Linked DNA regions of Caenorhabditis elegans. The protein of the gene in region 1 interacts with the protein of each later gene in a pairwise test. Each region holds a gene or a part of one and is shown in the gene's direction. Other genes may lie near its edges.

Evidence for each region. The genes of interacting proteins can lie anywhere in the genome.
Region 2: the proteins of ufl-1 (region 1) and cdkr-3 interact in a two-hybrid assay, tested with the Caenorhabditis elegans proteins (one study listed by BioGRID).

Annotation. Positions count from the first base shown.
Region 1 is NC_003282.8:7,032,196-7,038,808, reverse strand, and holds ufl-1 (E3 UFM1-protein ligase 1 homolog), read left to right. Parts: upstream 1-1,949; coding exon 1,950-2,023; intron 2,024-2,218; coding exon 2,219-2,336; intron 2,337-2,337; exon of another isoform or gene 2,338-2,430; coding exon of another isoform or gene 2,431-2,565; intron 2,566-2,620; coding exon of another isoform or gene 2,621-2,680; exon of another isoform or gene 2,681-2,686; intron 2,687-3,178; coding exon 3,179-3,333; intron 3,334-3,488; coding exon 3,489-3,728; intron 3,729-3,777; coding exon 3,778-3,986; intron 3,987-4,031; coding exon 4,032-4,178; intron 4,179-4,234; coding exon 4,235-4,518; intron 4,519-4,559; coding exon 4,560-4,775; intron 4,776-4,821; coding exon 4,822-4,981; intron 4,982-5,032; coding exon 5,033-5,327; intron 5,328-5,608; coding exon 5,609-5,789; intron 5,790-5,838; coding exon 5,839-5,967; 3' UTR 5,968-6,113; downstream 6,114-6,613. Other genes in the region: cogc-2 (Conserved oligomeric Golgi complex subunit 2), read left to right, coding at 1-321, 368-771, 817-933, 981-1,229, 1,275-1,359, 1,457-1,726; C06G3.3 (uncharacterized protein), read right to left, coding at 2,431-2,565, 2,621-2,680; nabp-1 (OB domain-containing protein), read left to right, coding at 6,250-6,328, 6,378-6,437. UniProt on the Caenorhabditis elegans protein: E3 UFM1-protein ligase that mediates ufmylation of target proteins.
Region 2 is NC_003283.11:20,268,288-20,276,169, forward strand, and holds cdkr-3 (CDK5RAP3 protein homolog), read left to right. Parts: upstream 1-1,819; 5' UTR 1,820-1,829; coding exon 1,830-1,875; intron 1,876-1,926; coding exon 1,927-2,058; intron 2,059-3,566; coding exon 3,567-4,602; intron 4,603-7,045; coding exon 7,046-7,301; 3' UTR 7,302-7,445; downstream 7,446-7,882. Other genes in the region: prmt-1 (Protein arginine N-methyltransferase 1), read right to left, coding at 473-1,093, 1,148-1,417. UniProt on the Caenorhabditis elegans protein: Substrate adapter of E3 ligase complexes mediating ufmylation, the covalent attachment of the ubiquitin-like modifier UFM1 to substrate proteins, and which is involved in various processes, such as ribosome recycling and reticulophagy (also called ER-phagy).

The DNA of each region.
Region 1 (6,613 bases):
GAAGCGGTTCTCTGTGCAGAAGGAGTTCGAAGTGCCGCCGGTGATTGTCAAAATCTTCCTCTCATTTATTCAATTTTATCGTTAACGGAGAGTACGCATTCACTAACTGCCCTCTTGGTTTCTGATCTTTTGTATGCCGAATTTGTAAATGAGAAACACGACGAAAGTAATCAGTTGAAACTCTTGAAACAAGTCTTCGAAAGCGTCAAAAAAATGCGTGAAACTTGGGCTGAAAAAATGGGGACTGAACATTTTCGTGGAAACATCCGCCGTTTTCTGGACGAAACCCTTCTCACGTTCATTCTGACATTTATTGATAAGGTTTCCGTTCATAACTTTTTATATTCATAATTATTTGTATTTTCAGTGTATGGGAGCCGTCGCAGTCCCAAGTGACACACGACTTTTCCATGAATGTTTCTTGCTCACTCAAGAATTTATCGATAATTGGCCATCTTCTCATACCTGCCGTGCAATGCTTAAGTCGATCAGGGATAAATTCAATTTATTAGTTTATTTTAAATTAGAAACACATCGATTCGGAAAACAGTGCGATCAGCTGATGTCTCCCGAAATGTTTGCCGAGCCAGAAACTTCTGAAAATCGAGAAAACACTCCTCAGCTGCACTGCGGAGTTTCAAGAGCAATTATAACAGCAATTGAGCATGTGTGGAGTGATGATGTGTATCTTCCTCCTATTGTTGATAAATTATGGGATTTCACATTGAAGCTTTTGCTAAAGCATTTCTCGTGGAGTCAAACTATGAAAAAGTTAGATTAAAAGTTCTTCTTCACGAAAAATATTTTGTTTTCTAGTTATTTCATGGAAGAAAAAAGAGATTGGACTTCAATGGTTACTCTCCGCTCGGATACTGGAAATCTTCATCAATTGGTTTTCGATTTCGCGTTGGAGTCAATTTGGGGAAAATTTCAGTTCGTTTATTTAAATACTTACTTACATTTAGATATCATTTTTTCAGTGATATCACAGTGGATACCGCTCCATTCGGTCAATGCCTAACAAAGCATGGTCGATCAATTGATAGTCTTTGTGTTCAAATTGATGATAGTATTATTGAAATGTTCTCCGAAGTTCTTCATCAAGAAATTGCTCAAGTTTCCGATGTTCCTAAACAATACAGATGGACGAAGAAATCACCACCGACAACGCATTCCAAATATGTTGTTACAGCTATTGAAATGGTTGAGAATTTGAAAGAAAAACTATGGTAGTTTATATTGCTTCCACAAAATTTTGTACGTATTTTTTTCAGCTGCGAAGAACATCCTCACACCGATGAAATTGTTCGAAAAGTTAATCTTTCAGCATTCAATTATTTCGTGGGGAAAGGGAACGAGGTAACGTTTATTTTGGACACATGAGATAATTTTTTTTCCCGCTAAGTTTATAAACCACTCCAATTGATGCAAATTGCAACAAAATATTTGTTTTCAGGTGCTGGATAGTGTCGAAGCTACAGGATCTTCTTTATCCCGATTCAAACGGAAAACCACAACTGATTCTGGCTCCACGGTTACTGATGACGATAAAATCAAACAACAAATCTATCATGATGCTAAATATTTCCTGAGCTATGCGGAAAATCTTGTATTCTCACAAGCTGATCTCACCGGATTACAAGAAGTCGTCAATCGATTTGACAAAGATGCACGTTCGGCGATTGTACAAGAGAAAAATCAGAACGAAGAAGCGGGGAATGCTTGAATTAATTTTATGTGATTATTTATTTACATGTACATTTTATTTTAACAAATGGGTTGAAGTCTTTAAAATCGTCTATTGCCTTAATATGGGTTCATGGTATTGGAATAAAAAGTGTATAGCATCGTATTTGTGTTCACTTTCTTAAAAGTTCGGTTAAAAATCCATCGATTCATTTCTTTTTCTTTCTTTTTCATTTGATATATTAAAGTGGTAAATATTTCAGATGACTTCCTGGGCAGATATTCAGAAACTTGCATCAGATTTGCAGAGAGTTCAACTGTCACAATCATCTAAAAAGTGAGAAATATCATTGATTCTTGGCCATTTTATATATTTGATACTAAATGATAGCACATACACCATTTGCCCTAAAAACAACAAAAAATTAATAAGGTTTTAGTATCAAAAATTTAATTATTTATCTCATCTGTATTAACAATTTTTCACTAAAATTCTCAATTGTAGAATAATTTTAAAAAATTATTCTTTAAGGCTCTCCGAGGTGAATTGCATTGAAGTCCTTCAAAAACTTATCGCTTCTCATCGAATTGACGTGGTCTATACTAGAGATGGGCATAGTTATGTAACTAAAAACCACTTGGAAACTGAGGTGAGAGGGCAGAAATTTTTTATTCAAAAAAAAAAAATGAAAATAAAAGTAAAATATTGGTAGATGAGACCAATATGTAGTCGTTTCTTAAATTTCAGAACCCTGAATTTTTTCGAAAAATCTCATTATGAAATGGTATATTAAATGGAAGCCACCATTCTTTTTTGCCACGTGGAACTTCTTGGGGTGATGGAGAAACTGGAGAATTTGATGGTGACTCGTGTTGGCTCTGAAATTTCCTTTTTTTTAAAAGAATACTAACATTCCAAACAGCTTAGGCTCACTTGATCAGGTTTCTTTAATATAGACTTTGGCATTAGAATTGCGGGAGATGGATTGGGCATTGTTGAGTGTTTGAGAAAATAAAAATGTCTATCTATTCTTTCTTTTTTTTCTCACAAACTCCGCCTTTTTGTTGACCGCAATGAACTTTTATGTTTACACAAATGCAGAAATGTGAGTACAGAATAAACTGGAAGCAGCAAAACATGTGATCATGTTTTCATTTTGACAGCAGCCTTGGTTTTCGATTTGTTATTGAGGATAAATTTACGGTTAGGAATAAATATGAAAGAAGAACAATTAATTTTTATTATAAAGTATCACAGAAAAAAGTAGTTAAATAAATATTTGTAAGCAAAAATGTGTCATTTACGTTTTGAAAATCTGGAAAATATTATCTACACACGAATAATTACAGTAATCTTTAAAGGCGCGTTGCTCTTTGTGTATAAGATAATAATGTCGCTTCGAGACCGGCTACCGTATTTTGGCAGAATAATTGGAAAATTACACAGGCTGAATATTTTCCAAAGTTTCAAGTTCATCAATCCATTTTTCAGATAAAAAACGAGTGCATAGCCGCTGGAGGACGTGCTTCTCTCACTGATATCGCAGTTGCTCTTAACATAGATTTCGATCATATCGAGAAGACTTCGCGCTTGATTGTTTCGACTGATGATGAATTTACAATTTCGAATGCAGAGATATTCGCGACGTAGGTCAAGTTTATTCACGTGATTTAGATAGGCCTAAAGTTCGGAAAAGAACAAAGAAGAACACATTGACTTCATTATTGTTACGTGTCGATTGCAAATTGCAAATCGACAAAATCATTTGTTCATTGAACACTCAAAAAATATAAATTTTCAGTGAATACGTACATCGTCTTCGTAACGAATTGCGTACACTTCTCGATGAGCAAGGAAATCAAACAACTGCAGCACTCTGCAAGCACTGGAATCTATCATCGGAACTTTTGCAATCCTTGCTAATCGAAAAATTGGGATCTTCTGATTTTCAAGGAGTGGTTGATGGGGATACGATCTATACTTCTTCATTTTTGAATGCCAGACAATTGGTTCTACGCGCTATTCTGATTGCATTAACTAAGTGAGAATCTGTTTTCCATTGCCGTTCAAATAATGTTTTTTCCAAACAGAATCACTCCTATTTCAACTATCCAAAAACGAGTTGGTCTCACACCGAAACGATTTTGGATTGCGTTCGAAAATCTTCAATCTCTCGGCGAAATTCCTGGTACTTTAATCGGTTCTCGTACATCACCTTCCTGCTCGTATCGTCCAATGATGTACGATCATCTTGTGAAGTCGTGCGTTTTGAATCAATATAGACAGAATGAATTTTTAGGTATGATCATCTATTTGTTTATCTTTTAATTTCTTTAAATTCCAGAAATTTCAACTCTAAAAACTCTAGGAGTAGATGCAAAACCAGCTCTCGAAGAAGTTCTTGGATCATCTGAATTCAAAAAACTTGTCAGTATGAGATCTATGTTTATGACAAAAGAACTCATGGATCAATGTATTAATGCTGTTCAAGGTTTTTTGTTTAATTGTTTTGAATTTTATTACTTAATTGAATTTTTAAATTTTCAGAAGACTTACAAAAAAGCGGAATATCCGACGTGCATTTGGCTCTTCAATCTCTAAATCTTCCTCTAGATACTGCTGATGAGGATGAAATCGGGTCAAAAGTTGCAAATGTGGAAAAAGATTCGCATTTTGCAGAGGGTTTTGTGTTCAAGGGAGCAGTTTTGACTGAAGCTCTGCGTTCAATTGACAAATTGTTGGACGTCAGAGCACATGAGGAAGTTGATCGATTAGAAGCGGAGAAAAAGAAACAAGGCGGAGCCAAGGCAGCAGTGAAAGTTCAAGAAGAGGTATACAAATTGAATTGAAAAAAAACTATTTAATTTTTCAGACGGATGACTGGGGAGATGGAAAGAAAGGTGGAAAAGGAGGAAAGAAAAACGCAAAAAGTGTGAAAGGTGGTTCGAAATCGTCTGCTCCTTCAACTTCATCCAATTTGTCGGCGAATATTTCCATAAATAGTGAGGAACTGGAAATATGGCTTCGTGAAAGTCAATCAGTACCCGAAGAAATTCTTTCAGTAATTGTGGAAAAGTTGAATCAAGAGGTCCATCTCATGGATTCTTCAGAAATAAATAATTTTTATGTTTCAGACAACAACGCTACTTCGCAAAAAAGTTCAAGACATTCAAGCACATCAATTGGTTGCCAGCGTCGCTAATTCCAAAAAGTCATTGTCTGCAATCGGCGATAAGTGTAGACAACTTTACGATTCATTTAACACATTTGAGACGGCTACTTCCACTTTTGCTGGTAGAAAAAACTTTAAAACTGAATAGAAAAATAATTTATTTTGAATTTCAGATCCCCTTGGCTCAGATCTTCGGCAATATCTTCTGAAAACAGTTGGAAATGAAATTGCATTGGCGTTGCTTTCATATGTTATGGGAGTAGATAATGCACACCAATTGAAGGAAAAACAGCGAGAAGAAACAATTGAAAACCTTCCTGAAATGCTCAGAGATCCGATTCGATCAGTGTTTGCGTCGCTGAAATCTACAGATGATGATGCTTTGGATAAATTTCATGATGCTGTTTATAATTGTTCGGCTCCAAGTGCAACTTCGTTGGCACTGAAAAAAGTCGACAAGAAAGGAAGGTAAAATTATTTTCATAATTCTTTCCAAAAAATATCTAAAAATTATTTATAGTGAGTTAAAATTTTGGAAAAAAATAAGCTAAAATTTTAAATTTCAAAATTTGTCGCAGCTGCTGGAAACAGGGCTGAATTCGAATTTTTTGAAAAAAAAAGCGAAATACGAATAATTTTGCAATTTTTAAATATTATTGATCGAAATTGAAATTGTTTCACAATTTCAAGTATATTTTTTTTAGAAAAAAAGTGACATTTAAAATTTAAAAAAAAACAAATTTTTTCAGAGCCGAAGTTGGAGCTAAAATTACAGCGGAACTTCATGAGCAACTTTGTTCTCAAACGGAGCCAGCAACAACTCTTCTTCTGTCTGTTCTTTATATTTTAGCCAAGGCTGGACGCCCAACAACTGCCAGCGGAAAGTTTGTTTCTCAACTTGTTGCTCAAATTAAGGATTTATGCCCCGAGGTAATAGAATACTAAACATCTATATATCTATCAGAATATCTATTTCCAGAATGTCTTCGACCTACTTCAGGCATGCCAAAAAGGCGTAGTTACTTGCATCAAGAACAAGGGCGACGAAGTGGCCAAAGAAATGCTCGTTAATGATATTTCTAGTCTGAAACAGTCAATTATGCCATAATATCGAAATAATTCGTATAACTTGTTTAATTAATTTATTGAGAACTGAAATATGAATGTATTGCACGTGTTTTATTCTGTTAAAATTAAATCTGTAATTGTTTTTTTAGTCAGAAGGTAGCTTTCATAAACAGCCCAATTTCAATTACTTTTCAATAGATCGCAAATTTTGATGGTCGTTGTGCTCGGATCTCTTCTGCTGTAGATTTTGATTAATATTCACAGCAAAGTTTAATCCTCGAAAAACTTCATAACTCAATTTTTTTGAATTTATCTTCTTCAGATGTCCGGTGACATACCTCTCCACCAATTGCAGCCAAACATGAATTCGTTTTCGGTTACTGTAATTGTTCTAGATCCAGGTATCCTTTGATTTTCAGAAAGAATTTATAAAAATGAATAAATTTTAAGGGATTCATCGCAGAACACAGACGGGAACAATTATTTCAATGAAAGTGGCTGACGCATCGGGTAAGATCAGATAAACCGAAATTTAGCGATTTTTGCTCCAAAAAACGATTCGATTTTCAATCTCGGAACGACAATTTTTGTGGAGTTCGAAAAGGTATGCGCCTTTAAGCAGTACTGTAATTTAAATTTCCTTCGAATTTTCATAGTTTTTAGATAAAAATATATTTATTTATGGA
Region 2 (7,882 bases), on another chromosome or scaffold:
GACTACAAACTACGAGTTTTGGGCGCTTCTAAGCTACAAACTACAAGATTTGGGCGCTGCTAAACTACAAACTACGAGTTTTGCGCGCTGCTAAGCTACAAACTACGAGCTTTGGGCGCTGCTAAGCTACAAACTACAAGATTTGGGCGCTGCTAAGCTACAAACTACGATTGTGGGCGCTGCTAGACTACAAACTACGAGTTTTGGGCGCTGCTAAGCTACAAACTACAAGATTTGGGCGCTGCTAAACTACAAACTACGAGTTTTGGGCGCCGCTAAGCTACAAACTACGAGTTTTGGGGGCTGCTAATTCATGTTTTCTTAATTTTTTGGCGAATTTTGTTTCAAAAACTGTGAAAAGGTCGATTTTCAGCCCAAAAATCGAAGTTTTTACCATTTACTGACTAAATTTGGTGAAAAACTGTTGAAAAATGGTATTTAACCCGAAAAAAAGTTATTTTTAAGCGCATACTTTAAGATAAAAGACGGTCTGCTTCCAATGAGTGTACTGTACATCTGGCCCAGTCGAGAATCCGGTTTTCTTGTGGCACTTGGAGAACTCGACGGTGAAGAAGGTGACGAAAGCTTGAATATAGTCGCTGCGAGTGCATCTCAGCTTAAAGTCCGATTTGAACGTGAGATCCTCGATTTTAACGGTGTACAAATCAACGTCCTTCAGCAGACAATTGTTGGTGTTGACCTGAGCGTTGTCGACGATATCGACGAGTGGCTCCTTGATCGCGACGTTCTTGATAGCGGACATGTTGAATCCGTAGACTGAATCCCACCAGTGGATCTTGTCCTCCTTGTACTGACGATCCTCGATAGCACAGACGTAGAGACGAGCCTTGTCCGGGAACAACATTCCATTCGGAGCCAACCATCTATCGCGGGCGACGAGCACAGTGTTGAGCATCGACTCGTAGAACAAGCAGTATCCCATCCACTCGGAAATGATGATATCGACCTTCTCAATGCCTCCTGGCAACTCGTGAACGTCCTCTACCTTCGCCTGAATCACCTCGACGATGTGGTCCAGGTTGTTGTCGGCGATTATTTTGCGGGAGGTGAGCGCCATGTTGGAGAATTCCATCTGAAGGAAAAGGAAATTTTTAAAAACCGTTCAAAAAATCCAAAAAAAACTCACCGCGAAAACCTTCTTCGCTCCAGCCTTGGCGGCGAACATGGAAAGAATTCCAGTTCCCGAGCCAACATCCATCACAACTTTGTCTTTGAACAAGTGCGAGTTATGATAGATCGAGTTCCGGTAGGTGGTGGTTCGCACCTCGTCCTTGAGCATCTCCTCGTGGATACCGAAGTGAGCGTACGAGTCGAAGTAGTAGTCCTTGCTGGTCAACTCTTTTGCAGCCGGTGCCGCCACCGGCGCATCTGCGGACTTCCCGTTTTCGGTACTCATTGTCCCGCTGGAAAAAGGTTAATTATTAAATTAATTAATGTGAGATCCACATGCTCTGAAATCCACTTTTAGGGCCAAAATTCATGTATTTTCTTGTTCGAAAAGCTTTTTAATCAAAAAATAATTAATTTTCAGCAAAAAAAACCAAAAAATCAATTGAAAATCAACTGAAAATCATGAAATTCGAGTGAAAAAGACGAAAAAAAAAGGAAAACTCATTTCAAATCAACACCTAAAAATGCGGGCGTTGCGAGACCCAACACACACGAAACCGCATGCGCCTTTAAATTTGTGTCGATTTACGCAGTGGCTGACGTGTATTTTTCCATCGAAATTTTCTTCTTTTTTTGGGAGATTTCTGAATTTAAAATTGAATTTTAAGTTAAAATTTTAATTTTTCAGATAAAAAATCATGTCAGACGACTTGCCAATCGATATTCACAGCAGTAAATTGCTTGGTAACTCGTTATCCATTAATTTTAACCCAAAAAACACCGCAAAAACTTTAGATTGGCTGGTTTCCCGTCGTCATTGCAACAAAGATTGGCAAAAAAGCGTGGTGGCGATTCGAGAAAAGATCAAACATGCCATTTTGGACATGCCGGAGTCGCCGAAAATCGTGGAGCTGCTGCAAGGAGCGTGTTAGTTGGTTTTTTGCCCAAAAAAGACCAAAAAATTGTTAAAAAACTACAAAAAGGCTCGACTACCAAGTTTTTTTTGCAAAAAATCTGATTAAAAAAAATAGTTTTTCACCAAAAACAGTCAGAAAAACGAATAAAATCTCTCTTGTCCGCAGGAGGCTTAGGCTCACCCTTGAACCAAACGGACAACCTTTACCTTTACTTTTTAAATTTACGGAAAAATGCAAAAAATTCAATAACAGTCCCATTAACAGCTCGAAATCCGGATTAGCAGCGCCCAAATCTTGTAGTTTGTAGTTTTAGCAGCGCCCAAAATTGAATTAGCAGCGCCCAAATCTTGTAGTTTGTAGTTTTAGCAGCGCCCAAAATTGAATTAGCAGCGCCCAAAACTTGTAGTTTGTAGTCTTAGCAGCGCCCAAAATTGAATTAGCAGCGCCCAAATCTTGTAGTTTGTAGTTTTAGCAGCGCCCAAAATTGAATTAGCAGCGCCCAAAACTTGTAGTTTGTAATGTTAGCAGCGCCAAACCATTTTTTTGAGAAAAATCCAATTAAATTACAGTTTTTAGTCGTTTTTCGCCAAATTTAGCGAGAAAAATCATTAAAATAGAAAAAATAATAAATTTTTCTGTCAAAAAAGCCGTAATTATTCAATTTTTAATCTAAAAATTGCCAAAAATTCAGTTTTTCACCCAAAAAAGTCAGAAAAACATATAAAATTGTGATTTTTGCGGTGAAAACCGACTATAATTTAGTTTTCGTGCCGAAATTTACGAAAAAAATGCAGAAATTTCGATAAAATTCCCATTAACAGCTCGAAATCTGGATTAGCAGCGCCCAAAACTTGTAGTTTATAGTGTTAGCAGCGCCCAAAATTGAATTAGCAGCGCCAAACTTTTTTTCTGCAAAAACCTGATAAAATAACATTTTTTTGAATTATTTTTCGCCAAATTTAGTTAGGAAAATGCATTACAATGCTATTTTTGCCGTAAAAATCTTCAAAAAATCGATTTTTATTCAATTTTTAATTTAAAAATTGCCAAAAATTCAGTTTTGCACCAAAAACAGTCAGAAAAACATATAAAATTGTGATTTTTGCGGCGAAAACCGACTATAATTTAGTTTTCGTGCCGAAATTTACGAAAAAAATGCAGAAATTTCGATAAAATTCCCATTAACAGCTCGAAATCCGGATTAGCAGCGCCCAAAACTTGTAGTTTGTAGTGTTAGCAGCGCCCAAAATTGAATTAGCAGCGCCCAAAACTTGTAGTTTGTAGTGTTAGCAGCGCCCCAAATTGAATTAGCAGCGCCAAACTTTTTTTCTGCAAAAACCTGATAAAATAACATTTTTTAAAATTATTTTTCGCCAAATTTAGTTAGAAAAATGCATTACAATGCTATTTTTGCCGTAAAAATCTTCAAAAAATCGATTTTTATTCAATTTATTTTTTTTTGACCTGAAAATTGCCAAAAATTCAGTTTTTAAGCTAAAAACTCGATTTTTTTTCCAGATATCAACTATTTCCACTGCTGCCAAATCATCGAAATCCTGCGCGACACGGAAAAAGACACGAAAAACTTTCTGGGCTTCTACTCCTCCCAGCGTATGAAGGACTGGCAGGAAATCGAGGGAATGTACAAAAAAGACAATGTCTACCTGGCAGAAGCGGCCCAAATTCTCCAGCGACTGGCCCAATACGAGATTCCGGCCTTGCGGAAACAAATCTCCAAGATGGATCAATCCGTGACAGATGCAATCAGGAAACACTCAGAATACGGGAAACAAGCCGAAGATGGCCGGAAACAATTCGAGAAGGAAATCTCCAGAATGCAGTTGAAAGGTGTTCATTTGCGAAAAGAACTGCTCGAACTCGCCGCAGATCTCCCCGCGTTCTACGAGAAAATCACCGCGGAAATCCGGAAAATCTCCGCGGCCCGCGACTACTTTCAGGCCTTCCGGGACTATATGAGCCTGGGAGCTGCTCCAAAGGATGCTGCTCCGATTCTTCCAATAATCGGGTTAATTGGAGAGCGGGGGCTTGACGTGACGACTTATGAGTGGAAGTATAACCAGAAGCCGGATAAAGTGGAAAAACCGAATTTCGAGATGCTCCTGACCGCCGCTGAGGACTCGGATGAGATCGATTTCGGCGGCGGCGATGAAATTGACTTCGGAATTGCTGCAGAAGACGATGCGGTTATTGATTTTTCCGCAGTAGTCGACCTAGTAGCAGATGACACTGGAGCAGTCGGCGAGGCAATAGCTTCAGGCCAGGATGCTCTTCACCTTCTCGAGAACTCGGAAGCTCAAAAAGCTGTGAAGCACGAGCTCATCGAGCTTTTAGCCTTTCTCTCGATGCGTTTGGACGATGAAACTCGAGAAACGACGGCCGATGTTCTGATCCGTGGAGCCGAAAAACGTCCCGATGGCGTGGCAGCCGTTACGGAGAAGCGCCTGAAGACGTGGATTACGGAAGTGGAGGGGATTTTGAAGGAGCTGGAGAATCCGCAGAAAGTGCACTTGTTCAAGATTCGTGGATCTCCGCAGTGCGTTTGCAATTTCAAGTGGTTTCGGGAGGAAAACCAACTGAAAATATGACATTTTATTATGATTATGATTAAAAATCGCCTTTTCACTGCAGAAAAACTCCGAAAAATCACTAAATTCGACCAAAATTCGATAAAACTGCCGGAAAAAGTTTTGGCGCTGCTAAACTACAAACTACAAGATTTGGGCGCTGCTAAATCGATTTTGGGCGCTGCTAAACTACAAACTACAAGAATTGGGCGCTGCTAATACAATTTCGGGCGCTGCTAAACTACAAACTACAAGATTTGGGCGCTGCTATTCGATTTTGGGCGCTGCTAATTCGATTTTGGGCGCTGCTAAACTACAAACTACAAGATTTGGGCGCTGCTAATTCGATTTTGGGCGCTGCTAAACTACAAACTACAAGATTTGGGCGCTGCTAATTCGATTTTGGGCGCTGCTAAACTACAAACTACAAGATTTGGGCGCTGCTAAACTACAAACTACAAGATTTGGGCGCTGCTAAGCTACAAACTACAAGATTTGGGCGCTGCTAAACTACAAACTACTAGATTTGGGCGCTGCTAAACTACAAACTACAAGATTTGGGCGCTGCTAAACTACAAACTACTAGATTTGGGCGCTGCTAATTCGATTTTGGGCGCTGCTAAACTACAAACTACAAGATTTGGGCGCTGCTAATACAATTTTGGGCGCTGCTAAACTACAAACTACTAGATTTGGGCGCTGCTAAACTACAAACTACAAGATTTGGGCGCTGCTAAACTACAAACTACAAGATTTGGGCGCTGCTAATACAATTTTGGGCGCTGCTAAACTACAAACTACTAGATTTGGGCGCTGCTAAACTACAAACTACTAGATTTGGGCGCTGCTAATTCGATTTTGGGCTCTGCTAAACTACAAACTACAAGATTTGGGCGCTGCTAATACAATTTTGGGCGCTGCTAAACTACAAACTACTAGATTTGGGCGCTGCTAATTCGATTTTGGGCGCTGCTAAACTACAAACTACAAGATTTGGGCGCTGCTAATTCGATTTTGGGCGCTGCTAATTCGATTTTGGGCGCTGCTAAACTACAAACTACAAGATTTGGGCGCTGCTAAACTACAAACTACAAGATTTGGGCGCTGCTAAGCTACAAACTACAAGATTTGGGCGCTGCTAATACAATTTTGGGCGCTGCTAAACTACAAACTACTAGATTTGGGCGCTGCTAATTCGATTTTGGGCGCTGCTAAACTACAAACTACAAGATTTGGGCGCTGCTAATTCGATTTTGGGCGCTGCTAATTCGATTTTGGGCGCTGCTAAACTACAAACTACAAGATTTGGGCGCTGCTAAACTACAAACTACAAGATTTGGGCGCTGCTAAGCTACAAACTACAAGATTTGGGCGCTGCTAAACTACAAACTACTAGATTTGGGCGCTGCTAAACTACAAACTACTAGATTTGGGCGCTGCTAAACTACAAACTACTAGATTTGGGCGCTGCTAAACTACAAACTACTAGATTTGGGCGCTGCTAAACTACAAACTACTAGATTTGGGCGCTGCTAAACTACAAACTACTAGATTTGGGCGCTGCTAAACTACAAACTACTAGATTTGGGCGCTGCTAAACTACAAACTACTAGATTTGGGCGCTGCTAAACTACAAACTACTAGATTTGGGCGCTGCTAAACTACAAACTACTAGATTTGGGCGCTGCTAAACTACAAACTACTAGATTTGGGCGCTGCTAATTCGATTTTGGGCGCTGCTAAACTACAAACTACAAGATTTGGGCGCTGCTAATTCAATTTTGGGCGCTGCTAATTCGATTTTGGGCGCTGCTAAACTACAAACTACAAGATTTGGGCGCTGCTAATTCAATTTTGGGCGCTGCTAATACAATTTTGGGCGCTGCTAAACTACAAACTACAAGATTTGAGCGCTGCTGACCGATTTTGGGCGCTGCTAAACTACAAACTACAAGATTTGGGCGCTGCTAACCTACAAACTACAAGATTTGGGCGCTGCTAACCTACAAACTACACATTTTTGGCTTGCAAATTGATTAAAAGTGGTATTTTTACATCAAAAGTTTCTGAAAATCAATAATTCCAAACAAAAATCGATATTTTTCCGATTAAAAAATGTTTTCTGACTCAAAATTCCTGATTTAAAGCACGAAACTTCGCATTTCCTTGGAAAAACTGTTGAGAAAATCATAATTCTCAAGGTTTAAGTGCAAAATTTGTACTGAAAAATGTGAAATTACTGCGAAATGCGAAAAAGTACTTCGAAAAACTGAAATTTTGCATTTAAAATCTGCGAAAAAAGGTTTTTTTTTTCATTTTTAACCAAAAATTGGCTAATTCAATTTTGGGCGCTGCTAGACTACAAACTACAACATTTTGGAGCTGCTAAATCTAATTTTTGCCTTTTTCCAGATACGTGGAGCAAGTAGTGGAGGAACTCGAAAAAAAACGTGACATGGAGCATCGTTACAAGCGCCTGCAGACCCTAATGACTGAAAATCAAGAAACCGCCCGCCAATCGGTCACCAAATCCAACGTTGAGCTGAAAACGATTGTGGAGAGCACACGTGTGCTCCAAAAACAAATTGAAGCCGAAATTTCGAAGAAATACAACGGTCGACGTGTCAATCTGATGGGCGGAATCAATCAGGCGCTGGGAGGAAATTGAAATTTTTTTCAAAATTTTTTTTCTTGTTTTTTGGATTTTATTTGATTTTATTTTTAATTGCACCCAAATGATTGTATTTTTGATTGTAGTAAAAATTAATTTATTAATGTTTTTTTTTAACTTTGAGTCCCTCCCAGAAAAGTTAAATTAAAAATTAATTTATTTACCCAGCCAAGCTTCTCGTTTTTTGCTTACTACCTCGGCGAGATATTTGCTTTTTTACTTGATTTAAGTGATACTGTCTTGACGATGAGCGCAAACATAATTTTGACATTTTCTAGACAATAGAACAAGTGCTCCGATTTTTTTGTTTGCAAAAAACTGGAATTTCCTAAGGGATTTTTTTCTAATTTTAGATTTTCCTGTTAGTTTGGCATTAATTTAGACTGAATTTTCAGATTCTGCACAAAATTCTGACCTAAAAGTTATCTACTTTTGAGAATTTTTGTGAAAACTTCTACTTTCAGGCTTTTAGGCCAGAAGCAAATAGTTTCCGGGCCATAACTTAACACATAGGCTTCGGAAATGGAAACCAGTATGAAATTCAGAATGCCCGTAGAATTCTGAACAGATTTGACACC